Arabidopsis thaliana: one gene and its partners. The protein of the gene in region 2 interacts with the protein of the main gene of each other region in a pairwise test. Each region holds a gene or a part of one and is shown on either strand. Other genes may lie near its edges.

Region 1 (3,741 bases), on a different chromosome or scaffold from region 2:
GAAAGTTTTCACCGGAAAAAAACTTACGCGAGGATCCATTTGCCGTTGAGAAGGAAAAGAGCTTCCGTCGGAGCTGGAGTAGGGTTCTTAGACTCGAGCTGTGTGATTAGATCTCCGATTTCAGCTCTGGTTTCGCTCGATGCGCTTAAACCTCGATCTGTTCCGTACAACGAATCCACGAGCGATCTCTTTAGCCGCTCCGTCTCTTCCACGTCTTCAATTGCTTCCTCCGCCGCCAATAGAGCTGATCCTATCTCTCCCGTATCTGTGGCTCGGACTTTGAAAACTCTACGGGGGGAAACAGCGATTCCTCCGGTGGAGATCATCGGGCGGTGAATAATTGAGGTCACCGGTACCAGAAACGGAGGCTTGGAGATAGATTTAGAGTTCGGTGAGATTGAAACTCTGGTTTGGCAGCTAAATTGGGTGGACAATTGTACCGTCGCCATTTTTTTTTGTTTCTTCGACTAAAATTTCGAAGCTAGTGAACAAGAATAGACCTGTACTGATTTTATAGACATTGTTACGTAAATGTTTTGCTTTCATCAACTACCAAACTCACACCAAGAGGGATAATATCGACTATTCCACATAGATCATGTACATTCGACTACGATACTGCCACGTGAGAGACAAGATCAACGGCCAAGAATCCACTCGACGGTGTGAGGCGAGCATTGTTTAGGCTAGATAAAATCCAAAATAACGGTTTACTGGGCTTGAATAGACTAAATGGGCCTCGTGAACAAAAAACCTCTTGTATTCTTTTTTGCATTTACATCATCTTCTTCAATAACCAAAAGAAACGTACAAAGTACACAAACCGTAGTTAAAACTTTGGAAACGTATCTAGGGATCACCTCACTTACTCACGTGGATCGAGAACTTTTAGCCGTCCGATCGTTTTCAGAAAATATCGAGTATCTCAATGATCGGACGGTTACAAAGAGGACACGATCCACGGTTCAGCCACAATTCTCTAGAGCACACTCTGCAAAAAGTATGACCACATGGAATAAACGCAGCGCCTTTCTTTCTTCCCATACACACGCAACACACCGAATCATTACCCGTTAACGTCCCAATAGACGCCGTTAATATCTCCGTTTCTTTCCCGTCGTCATCAACGATTTTCTCCGCCGTCTCTTCCAACAATCTCATCAACGAAACTCTCCTCGGCGTCATATCTGCCTCCGCCTCCGTCGATTCTCCACGGTTATACCTCTCCGCTTCTAACGCTGTCGCGAGATTCATACCCGTACCCGATCCATGATCCGATTCGAGAACGAGTCCGGTTTCAATTTGTAACTCTTCGATTTCGTCGTCTCTTGAGGTTGGACTGTGAAGAGTGGTGTTGTTAGTTAGACGGAGATTCCAGGTTGGACCACAGCATCCGATGCATTTGAATCTCAACCGTTCTTTTAACGTCCGTTTCCTTCTGGTGAGATCGTGACCGCTCATCTGTCGTCGGAGCAAATCAAGAAACGTCGTCGTCGTGCGGTGTGTTTCCGTCATCCTCTGACTCGTTCCGAGATCGAGTTCACTCATCATCGACTCGGTAACGGAAACTCTAAACAAATTCTCAGATAGTGAAACAGAATCACCAGTGAAATAGACAGATTAGCTCCGCCATGAGAGAGCCCTGTGAGGGAGAGAGAGAAACTGTTTAGATCTTTGGGTCTCGCAGTGATGATGACATTATAAAGGAAGTTTTCAGAGTTTTTTTTTTCTCTTCACATTTCTTTATTTTTTTTGTTAAAGTTGCTTCCGAATATTGATTTCCCGCGAATTAAAATTACTTTATACAGTTTTACTAATTTTTAACAGTTATAACGATTCTGTTTGACTGGTATTCCACACAAAATTACAGTAGTAGTGGAATCGAGTATATTTGTAAAATATTTTTCCAACTTGAGTATATAACTTTCAATTTTTAAAAACCAATTTTTAATAAGTTACTTACATCATTGTTTAAAACTTAAAAGGTTAATCAACTTATAATTATGTGTAATTTACCGAGAAATGATGTACAGTGTACGCAATGGGGGCAACTATAATGTTAGTTCTTCTGAATTTCTGATAGAAAGAGAAAAAATAAATTTACTTAAGAGGAAAAATTTAATGCTGTTTCTGTAACTGTACGACTTAGTTTTAAAATTAAATAAAAAAGTCTTCAAGGTCTCGAATAGAAACAAAATCGAATTAGTACTTAAGTTTATACTCCCTCCGTTTCATAATATAAGTTGTTTTATACCAAATTTTTTGTTTTATAATATAAGTTGTTTTCAAGTTTCTATGCAAATTATATATTATTTTAATACTTTATGATTATTTATATTCTACAGTTTTTTTTATAATTGGTTGAACATTTTAAAAATAAATATTCTTAATATACGTATTTTTAGTTAAAACAACTTATATTGTGAAACGAAGGGAATATTACCAACAAAAAAGGTCCTCCATCGGAGTTCAAACCCTATTAAAGATTAAACAAATCATCAATCGAATAAAGGTACTATTAATGTAACGCTAACTCTGAAATAAAAGCGACGATCAAAGTATTCGAATTTGATTACTGCTAATTATACTAGACTGATGAATTCTCTTACCTGTGCTATAACCGGAACATGGTTTTTTGGTAAAACCTTTCTGGCGGGAAAACATTTTTGTTATTAAACCCGCGGAAAATCATTTTAAAAAGTGAAAGGCAAAGAAGAGACAAAAAAAAAAAAAAAAAAAGAAGAAAAATTAAAGAAGGCGCATGAATCAAGGCTTTTCCCACGTGAAATGTTCGCATAGACGACGTCGTCTTTGCGCCACACTCTCCCCAACAAAACCAATAAAAATAAAAGTGTGGGATATAGAGATTCTAAACGCTAATACCAATATGCTTTTTGAGAGAATGATACATTCAATGATTTTGTACTTTTAAACATTTTTTTTACTCCTGTGAAATAAGAATTGAAGAAACCGACAATGCAACCACAAAGGCTAGTAGTATGGATAAAATGGTCTACAACGACTTAAGCTCATCAAAGTACATTTACATCATTAGGGTATTTGATTCTCTCACACACTAGCACAACGATGGGAATTTCACATTATTCCTTTATTCCCAAGTATATGGGATTATATCTATTGTTCATGAGCTGATACAAATAATCTTTTTTAGTTTACTTTCTAATTTATTAACTTGTAATGGATTTCTTGAGGCAGTCTACAATACCTTCGCAATGAGCCTCCTCAGGAACAACACACCCTGATTCTTCTTCAGTATCATCATCTTCTAAAATGGAGTGTGGAGAACGCAGACTGCCTAGAGTCTGACAAGCTCTCATTGTCTTGCAGTGTTCTGCTTCATCATCTCTTATGTTCACAAACACATCGTATAGATTTTCTGCCCAACCGTAATCACAAAACAACAAAAACGTTATATAGATTCTTATTTTAACATCAAAGTAAGTCACAAACTGTGAATAATGCTTCCTCCATACAAACATAAGACAGAATCTCAGTCATTTATAGAGCGCAGAATCATAACCATGGATAAATCATAAACTTTTTTTTAGCATTTTGTGGTTCGACGGAATCAGAGATGGAAAGAACTAAACGGATATGAAATAGATTTGCTACCTATTACTGGTCTTCGAGTATTGGGAGTTCTTGATGTTTGGAACTCATCTGCAGACAATACAGGGCCAGTTTAAAAGACTACTAATCATAGGTAAAAACATCTCTACA
Region 2 (4,763 bases):
GAACTAGAAACAATATTATATTTTCTGAAGCCATTAGGTGTATTCAATATTTCGATTATATCAAGCATCTAGAAAATCCTCTTGTTGAGCTCATTATTAAAAAGACGGTTTCCATTTTCCATTTTCAGATATAGCCTATTAGTTAATTCTTACTACCATATGTATGTGACTATATCTGATTACAAAAGTTTATAGAAATTTATGTGTAGGATAAAAAAACTATTAGTGGAACTAAGGGGTGTCAAAAGGGGTTAACCCAAATCAATCCACCAAATTTTCCGTCAAAAACACATTATTTTTCTAAAAATACAGTTTCACAAAAAAGAAGAGATATAGAAAGTTGGATCAGATGAAAAAATGCATCTAATTGTGTAAAATTTAATAAAACTCTTATTTACGATTATGTAGTTTTGAAATTTTCTTCAATACACCGTAAAAAAAATAAAAAAAAATAACCTGCTGGTGCGTTGGTAATTTTTACTCAAAATAATTTAGTTTTTGTGCAGTAAATATGTATCTGGAAAGTTTTGTGACAAGTAAAACTAAAAGGGGCAAAGTAGAGGTATATATAATGGAGGAAACGGCGAACCACTGTGTTCGAGTGCCCTCTTACACTCTAGACATGAACACTTTTGAAGATTTCCTCATCACTTGGGAAATGGAATGCACACTGACACAAGTTCTTCACTTAGCAGCTTTGGTTAAGAATTATCCTGAAATCAAATGCCATTTTCACTTCCCCAAAAGAAAATGATTAAGTAACTAGCTTAGGTTGGATTTGTTAGGCACAAACTGTATCTAAGATGATGATAATCGCAATTCTATTAGAGAAACGCCATATCCAGATTCATCAAGGGTAAGGAAGATGCACATGATTTAACCCTACAACGAGAAAATATCAAAAGAAATACGAAGGTGACCCTGTGCTACTAATGTTCTTCCGTTGAGCTACTCCAATGATCGAAATCGTAAAACTCACGTGTCGATTACAAGAACTCTTGTGTAGGCCTTTGGTTGTACAGACAGAACAAGGGGAAATGAATAAATGAACTTACATATATATACTTAACACATGTATAAAGATATATGCATATCTGATTCATGTTCCACTTGAATCAATATATAAACATTTTTCCTCCATAAGAAATCATCAAAGACCAAAAAGCTTAACTTGCTTTTGTTCATCAGTTATGTTGGCACTGGAGGTTTTTCCAACCACTTGGCACGAAACCCCGTTCCTTTGCAATCGCTACAGCTAGCAGAACCCTAAAACCATTGAAAGAATCGAATTTGTTCATACTTGGGAAGATATATAAACAAGAAGACACAATAATGTGTCTGCACTTTCGTTTTTATTAGATAACAAACCTGTCCAGAGCAGATTACACATGAAGTATTCCTTGAGGGAACCTGGCAAAGCATGTTATCACCAAGGATGAAGAATCCTGTACCCGCACACCATTTGCATTCCACATGACCCTTTGAATTGCACGATGAACATCCAACAGGACTTGGTTGCTGCAGTGAAGAAAAAAACAGACAAAGAAAATCATTGAATCGAAACACAGGTCAACAAGTAACATCTAGAAAATTCACACGAGCTCAATATCAAATTGCAAGTGCTAGAAGAAAGGCTTCAAAGTCTGAACTTTTGATAGATTCTCTAAGAGCAATATTAGAGAAAAAGCAGAGAATCCAACAATTGTACATGCAAAGCTACAAAACTACATTGCGTTGCGAGATAAGCCTGCTTAAGCCTCATCACTCAGGGATCATAGAGAACAGCTACAACCTGATTAAGTAGCTAACATGTTCTCATCATATGCACAAATCAAATGAATTGTGAACAAACATTTTTTGCTAGAAACCAACTAAAAGGTACTTTGCAATTACAGATTTTCGATACAAATCCTTTTGAAACTTGCTGATACTATTCACCTCATAATCTGAAATTTACAACATTTCATCACAGATCCAAGTTCTTAATCTCATACAAAATTGCATATAGCTCTTCACTCGTACATGACTACATCAAGGATCAGTTCTTGTGATTACTCAGATTCAACAAAATTATACACATCAACAACTCTCTGGAGATACGAACCTGTGAGATAATCCAAGCTTGATCCATACGCTTGGCGAAATTTGAAGAACTCTCAGGTGAATCCACCGCCGAAGCCTTGACGGTAGTAGTAGCTGGAAAACGGCGAACGACTGGTACGAAACCTAGCTTCGTTATCCTAGGAGAATTCCATGGATTTAGAATCGATTTCGCTACGAGATGTGAATCGCAACACATGCAAATCGTCATTTTCTCTTCTTCTTCTTCTTCTTCGCCGAGAAGGTTGAAATCGGAGGTTTAAATTTGTCTTTGGCTTATTTTTATTTTATTTTATTTTTCTCGCATACCAAATTGGAAGACAACAGGAGGAGGAGAAAAGTCTAGGAATAACCCAATTGGGTTATTGGACCCTGGGCCCATTAAAGTTGGATCTTTTTGTTTGCTAAAATGATTGATTCAATGATTTAAACCAACTCATTATCTCCTCTACAATTCCTTGGATTCTTCCTACAGTCAAAACAAAATCCAGATTGCTTGTTTGTTTTTGGTTTGCTTATATGATTGAGAAAATAATTTTTTTCTATGTATAAATTTACTAGTTTTAAGATGATAATATAACATTTTTTTTTGTTCTTACATAGATTGTTAAATATTTTTAATTTAACCAATCATACACTTTTATGCATATTAATCGATTTTCCAATATGTTTGCCGCCTTCTTTGTCTAAATAGATTCCATCTTCTCTTGCTCTCCAGTCCCATATACCTCCTTCATCCATAAAACCAGAAAGCTTGAATGCTGTAAATTTCTGATAATGTTTATAGTTAGGTCCTTGTTCCAAATGACACATAAAACGCGTCGTACGCCAAAAATTAATCATAAAATTGATTTCAACATGTTTGCCGATTGGTATTGTTTTTGGACCAAATTTGTCATCTTTGGAATAACATCCAATCCTGAGAAGTTTATTGAATTTGAGTTCGTTGGTGATCCTGATTCCAGAGCCGAATACATGGTCAAGCATGCAAAAACTAAAAACGAATAAAAAAGACTAAACAGTTTTTCATTTTTTTTGGGTAGATATTTAGATTTTTGCTTTGTTATTGGCTTTTGTGTTTCAGATTTTATATATGCACACATTTGTATTACTATTGTTGGCATAGTATGTAAAATGGCATAATATCTTATAATAATCATATTAGATATACATAAATCTATTAATATTGAATTATGAAAAAAATGATAAAATCAAGTAACCAGTTGTAGATAATATTAAACCTTATGTGAAAGATCAAATGATAACTAAGAAATTCAATTGTGCATAAAAAAATCCTCAATAATAAACTGGTTATTCTATAAATCATATCATACTATCTATGTAACCTATTAGTAAATAAAGTATTTGTTTTTAAAAGTAATAGACAATTTGTAAAGTACAATAAACAACTAAGTAGAGAAAGACAAACTAAATTAGGTTTATACATTTTGTTCTTGTAATAACGTTCTTGTGATTACTCAAATTCAACAAACTCAACAACTCTCGAAAGATACGAACCTGTGAGATTATCCAAGCTTGATCCATATGCTTGGTGAAATTTAAAGAACTCTCAGGTGAATCCACCGCCGAAGCCTTGAAAGTAGTAGTAGTCGGAAAACGGCAAACGACCAGTACAAACCCTAGTTTCGTTCTACTCCGCAAATTCCATGGATTCATAATCGATTTTTTTACAAGATGTGAATCGCAACACATGCAAATCGCCATTTCCTTCTTCTTCTTCTTGGCCGAAAAGGTTGAATTCGGATTTTAATCTACTCGGGCCTCTCGGGTTAAAACATTCTCTATTTAGCTCCCATTATAAAAAAAAAAATATGTTTATCTAGTTTTTTTTCTCCAAAAAATAGTAAAAGACAAATAAAACAAGGGGTTTTCACTTATTTACGATCCAACCATTATGTTGTGTTGTGTTTAATTAAGATTTTAATTCACTCTATTGATTGTGTTGTGTTTAATTAGGATTTTATTTAAGGTTTCATTCTATTGATTGTGTTGTATTTAATTAGGATTTTATTTCATATTAGATTTGATGGTTTGATCCTTTTTTCTTTGATTTTGGGTGAAACGGATAGATTTTGGATAAAATTTTGATTACAATTAGGATTTCTTATGATTACAATTCGGATTTGAATTACATTTTGGATTTATAATCGAAATTGTCCTTTAAATAGCCTCTCGTAATAGCCATTGTGACTAGTTTTTATGATTACAATTGGGATTTCAAGAAATTTGAATTTTGTTATTAGAGATGGTTTGTGAAATGTATTAAAACCAAATATTATGAGATTGCTTTTGAATGATAAAAACTAGAAGAAAAGGGGAAGAAGGAAAAGAAGAATGGTAAATTTTCTTGTTTCAAGATGATAAGATAAAATATTTTTTGTTCTTAGGTAGATTGTTAAACATAATTTAACCAATCATACATTTTATGCAAATTAATCGATTTTCCAATATGTTTGCCGCTTTCTTTGTCTAAATAGATTCCATCTTCTCTTGCTCTCTAGTCCTATATGCCTTCCTCAACCATAAAACCGGAAACCTTGTATGCTGTAAATTTCTGATAATGTTTATAGTTAGGTCCTTGTTCCAAATTACACATAAAACGTGTTGTATGCCAAAAATTAATAGTAAAATTGATTTCAACA
Region 3 (4,495 bases), on a different chromosome or scaffold from region 2:
ATCTTAGTTAAGCCAGGCGAATGCATTGCATCAATTCGGCTGCTTGGTTTTGCTTTCTTTTCTTTGGTCTGTGGTTCTGATTCGTGAAACTATGAGTTGGATTGTTTAGAATCTGGTTGATCTAGAACTTAGCTGGTTCAAGATCATTAGATGTTGTTGCATCATACCAATAATATTATCTTTAGATCTCTGTTTCTGATTAGATGGTTACATCCAATTATTTCTCTAAAGTCTGAGACATCATTGATATCTAACAATCAAAAACTAAAAAGTGAAGTATTAACATTTTAATCAGATTCAAACCAGAACTTATCAGTCATCAAAAATGTTGGCAAATAACAAATCAAACTTAAGTTTTTGGATGGAGAAAGCAAGCTAGATTCGAATCTCTAAGAAGCGTGGACTTGGACTTGTTTACGACCTGAAAAGATGTCATGATTATCTCATGATTACGAGATAATAACATGTCTTATCTACTAAACTAATCTAAAAAGTAGTGAGGATGACTTGAAACTTAAGTCTTATATGAATTATCTTTAAATATAGAAAAAGAAAGGAGATAGAGAGGTGTGTTTTTCATGTGAACAACTTTTTTTTACCTTTAGAGTACTTCCAGAAGACTTATTGGGTCCTTAATAAAAGTAGACCAAATTATTGAAGAGCTAAAAAAAAATGCCTACTCAAAATATCCAAACCTCTTCTTTTAGCCTTTTGTTTTTTTCAATATTCATACTAATGTAAACTACAATCATTGTATCATTCTATAATCATATGAATTTTTTGTCAACACCATGCATTATGCTAGTTTAAATTTAGGTGATGATATAAAGATATTTTAAGTACAAATCAATAGGGGCGATGTTCTTATGTCTTTATCTAACTTTATGAATTTGTGTTTTATATATTATGAAAAATTGGAAAAGAAGAGATGGCCTACGCTCAAGACCAATTCCTACCAATGGGCAATGGTGTTGAAATCTGAACAAAAAAATTTCCTTTCTTTAACGTTAGCTTTAAAGTTCAAAAAACTTTATTTACTTTTTCAGTGATAATTCTGTATAAAATAACATATAACAATGAGGAAAAAACTCAATAATTTGAATCGCTTATGACTTTATTTCTCCAAGTGCTTGACTTTTAAAACCCTAATGTCCAATCTCAACTAAAGTCAACCTTTTTCGTTCGTCTAGAAGAGTCAGTCATTAAGTTTCAATTGAAGTATACAGTAAATTATTAGTACTTTTTATTTTATTTTAACCACAGTTCATTGGCTGTATGAGATTTCTGTTCAAGAAAACATATAAATCGAAACCAAAGCAAAAGACATTATTTGCTTCGGTTTCTTCTACTCAAGCTCATTTTTAGTAAAACTAAATTGTATTTTCATTTTCTTAAAAAGTTAATTGTTTTTTTTGTAAAATCAGTTTTACCAAATTGGACACAATAATGAATATATGTCTATGTCTAGTTTTTTTTAGCTCAGAATATATCTTATGTGAATAGAATCGTCTATCAGATATTTTTGTGATGCAGATAGAACTTACCGTTATAGAATCATTTGTAGATTGTTCATCGTGATTGTTAAGATTAGATTCCCATTTGTAATATAACAGAAACTCGAAAAGTACTTATATTAAGTATTAACGATGTATCATGTGACCAAAATAGAAAATACTACGTAATGATATGATTATTAAGCGAGTGTGTAGGTAATTCAAATATTTCAATTAATCAATCTTTGATATCACTCTTTAGAGTAATGTATTATCTTTCTTATTGTTTTACCCTGGGATTAATAAGTTTACCGGATCCGGAGTAGAATTTCTTCGGTTTGGCAATTTTGTTCACCTACCATAACGAACTTTTACCCTTATACTTAGTTTCAATCTACTTTTGGTGCATCCTTTCATTTTCAACTGCAAAGAAGTAGTTAAAAGATCCAATACATAATATATTTAATTTATCATAAGTAACTTAGTGTAAAGAAAGACTAAAGTACTTTTTAAAATATGTATTTGTATTTCCCGATGTGAAAGAAAAGAAAATTGAATTTGCACATATCAATAATATTAGCTAGGAAAAAACTTGTGAGAAATTTCTTTGACGACTTGCGTGTGCAATAGTCTTCCTTATCTTCTCTACCATTTCTTAATTCCACTATTGTATAGTATTTACTTATGTTGAATTAATAAATTAAAACATTTAAATTTCCCTAAAGTTACTTTTTGATTTTTGATTTTCTATTTTTATTACAACTTTCCTACTTTTTGACATCTTTTCTTACAAAGACTTTTTGACATCTCCCCCTCCAGCTATTATATAGTCTCCTTTTTTCTTTTCTGCATTCACATAATATTTCCCCTATATAGTTTACACAACATCATACCCACCAACATATATAATCTTGATCATAGAGAGATAAACAGAGGCCGCTATCAAGAACAAGACTAAGAACAAGACTTCACTAGGAGTACAAGTATGGGAAGAGCACCGTGTTGTGACAAAGCAAACGTGAAGAAAGGGCCTTGGTCTCCTGAGGAAGATGCAAAACTCAAATCTTACATTGAAAATAGTGGCACCGGAGGCAATTGGATCGCTTTGCCTCAAAAGATTGGTATTAATAAATTTATAGTCACTCTTTTTCATATAAATTTGATAATTCTCTCTTGATCTATCTCTTTTTTTGTGAAGAAGTATTGATAACTAAAGATGCTTTTTGTTTATATGATTATTTCTTGGTTGTTTTAAGGTTTAAAGAGATGTGGAAAGAGTTGCAGGCTGAGGTGGCTTAACTATCTTAGACCAAACATCAAACATGGTGGCTTCTCTGAGGAAGAAGAAAACATCATTTGTAGCCTTTACCTTACAATTGGTAGCAGGTACTATTCATATACGTTATTCATGTATATATCGTTAAAATATCATGTGGAAACTCTGAAATATAGTTATGTGATGATGTCTATAATTAAAGGTGGTCTATAATCGCTGCTCAATTGCCGGGACGAACAGACAACGATATAAAAAACTATTGGAACACGAGGCTCAAGAAGAAACTCATTAACAAACAACGCAAGGAGCTTCAAGAAGCTTGTATGGAGCAGCAAGAGATGATGGTGATGATGAAGAGACAACACCAACAACAACAAATCCAAACTTCTTTTATGATGAGACAAGACCAAACAATGTTCACATGGCCACTACATCATCATAATGTTCAAGTTCCAGCTCTTTTCATGAATCAAACCAACTCGTTTTGCGACCAAGAAGATGTTAAGCCAGTGCTCATCAAGAACATGGTCAAGATCGAAGATCAAGAACTGGAGAAAACAAACCCTCATCATCATCAAGATTCAATGACAAACGCTTTTGATCATCTCTCTTTCTCTCAACTCTTGTTAGATCCTAATCATAACCACTTAGGATCAGGCGAGGGTTTCTCCATGAACTCTATCTTGAGCGCCAACACAAACTCTCCATTGCTTAATACAAGTAATGATAATCAGTGGTTCGGGAATTTCCAGGCCGAAACCGTAAACTTGTTCTCAGGAGCCTCCACAAGTACTTCGGCAGATCAAAGCACTATAAGTTGGGAAGACATAAGCTCTCTTGTTTATTCTGATTCAAAGCAATTTTTTTAATTATAATAATATATTATTCTTAAGATGAAACGTACATCATTATTATTAATTGGGGGTACGTAACGTATATATGGAATAACGATCTAGTTTGTTTAAATTTATTGATATCTCATATATCTGGATTTGAAATTAACTCTAATATGCAGAAGTATGAACTCATATGCGAAAGATCCTAGCGAAGTAATCACATTTAGATAAACAAAATTTGTTATTGTTACTTTTTTTTTTTTTTTTAAAGTAAGAACGTGTAATATGCATGTATGTATATATGTATGGATGCCTATGTGAAAAGAGTTAACACTTAAGAGTATATTGTGCATGATGTGTTACGTTTCCATTATGTATACAATATGATAATACATAAATTTACACGCATAATATACCTATTGGGCGCAAAGTTATACACATTTTAAAATGGGAAAATATTAATGGTGCTTTTGGGGCCTTGGCATATGAGCTGATTATATATGGTCGGATCCATATGTACGTGGTTGGATGTATTGATTGTATATATGCTTCTTTAATTGATTGTATGTTCATCCTACTTTTTCGAATAATTTATGTTTACCTCAATGTCGGATTGTGCGAAGCATTTAGCTGGAAACCATTGATGTTAATAATAAGTAAGAATTAACATAGATGGATTTATAAGGATATAAGAATTAATACCTAACCATTTGACCAATGAAAAGTTTGGATCACCAAATAAATGAATTGTGTGCAACTCTGAACTTCTCAAAGACATGACCTCTCTATTCCTAGCAAGTCACTAGTCTGTTTCTTATTTCCTCACAGAATCAAATGATGATGTCATACGAAAATTCTCTTTCCCTTACGAGTTTGGCACATTCGTTGCC

The links. The genes of interacting proteins can lie anywhere in the genome.
Region 1: the proteins of AT2G24860 (region 2) and AT4G22250 interact in a two-hybrid assay, tested with the Arabidopsis thaliana proteins (one large-scale study listed by BioGRID).
Region 3: the proteins of AT2G24860 (region 2) and MYB84 interact in a two-hybrid assay, tested with the Arabidopsis thaliana proteins (one large-scale study listed by BioGRID).

What each region holds. Positions count from the first base shown.
Region 1 is NC_003075.7:11,766,779-11,770,519, forward strand, and holds AT4G22250 (RING/U-box superfamily protein), read right to left. Parts: upstream 1,786-3,741; 5' UTR 1,552-1,785; coding exon 907-1,551; 3' UTR 677-906; downstream 1-676. Other genes in the region: AT4G22240 (Plastid-lipid associated protein PAP / fibrillin family protein), read right to left, coding at 28-449; IM (Alternative oxidase family protein), read right to left, coding at 3,189-3,397, 3,634-3,681.
Region 2 is NC_003071.7:10,585,930-10,590,692, forward strand, and holds AT2G24860 (DnaJ/Hsp40 cysteine-rich domain superfamily protein), read right to left. Parts: upstream 2,488-4,763; 5' UTR 2,312-2,487; coding exon 2,105-2,311; intron 1,519-2,104; coding exon 1,369-1,518; intron 1,267-1,368; coding exon 1,189-1,266; 3' UTR 714-1,188; downstream 1-713. Other genes in the region: AT2G24870 (Plant self-incompatibility protein S1 family), read right to left, coding at 2,731-2,871, 3,619-3,645; AT2G24880 (Plant self-incompatibility protein S1 family), read right to left, coding at 4,625-4,763.
Region 3 is NC_003074.8:18,425,463-18,429,957, forward strand, and holds MYB84 (myb domain protein 84), read left to right. Parts: upstream 1-2,272; 5' UTR 2,273-2,478; coding exon 2,479-2,614; intron 2,615-2,749; coding exon 2,750-2,879; intron 2,880-2,971; coding exon 2,972-3,638; 3' UTR 3,639-3,819; downstream 3,820-4,495. Other genes in the region: BCAT3 (branched-chain aminotransferase 3), read left to right, coding at 1-11. UniProt on the Arabidopsis thaliana protein: Transcription activator. Positively regulates axillary meristems (AMs) formation and development, especially during inflorescence.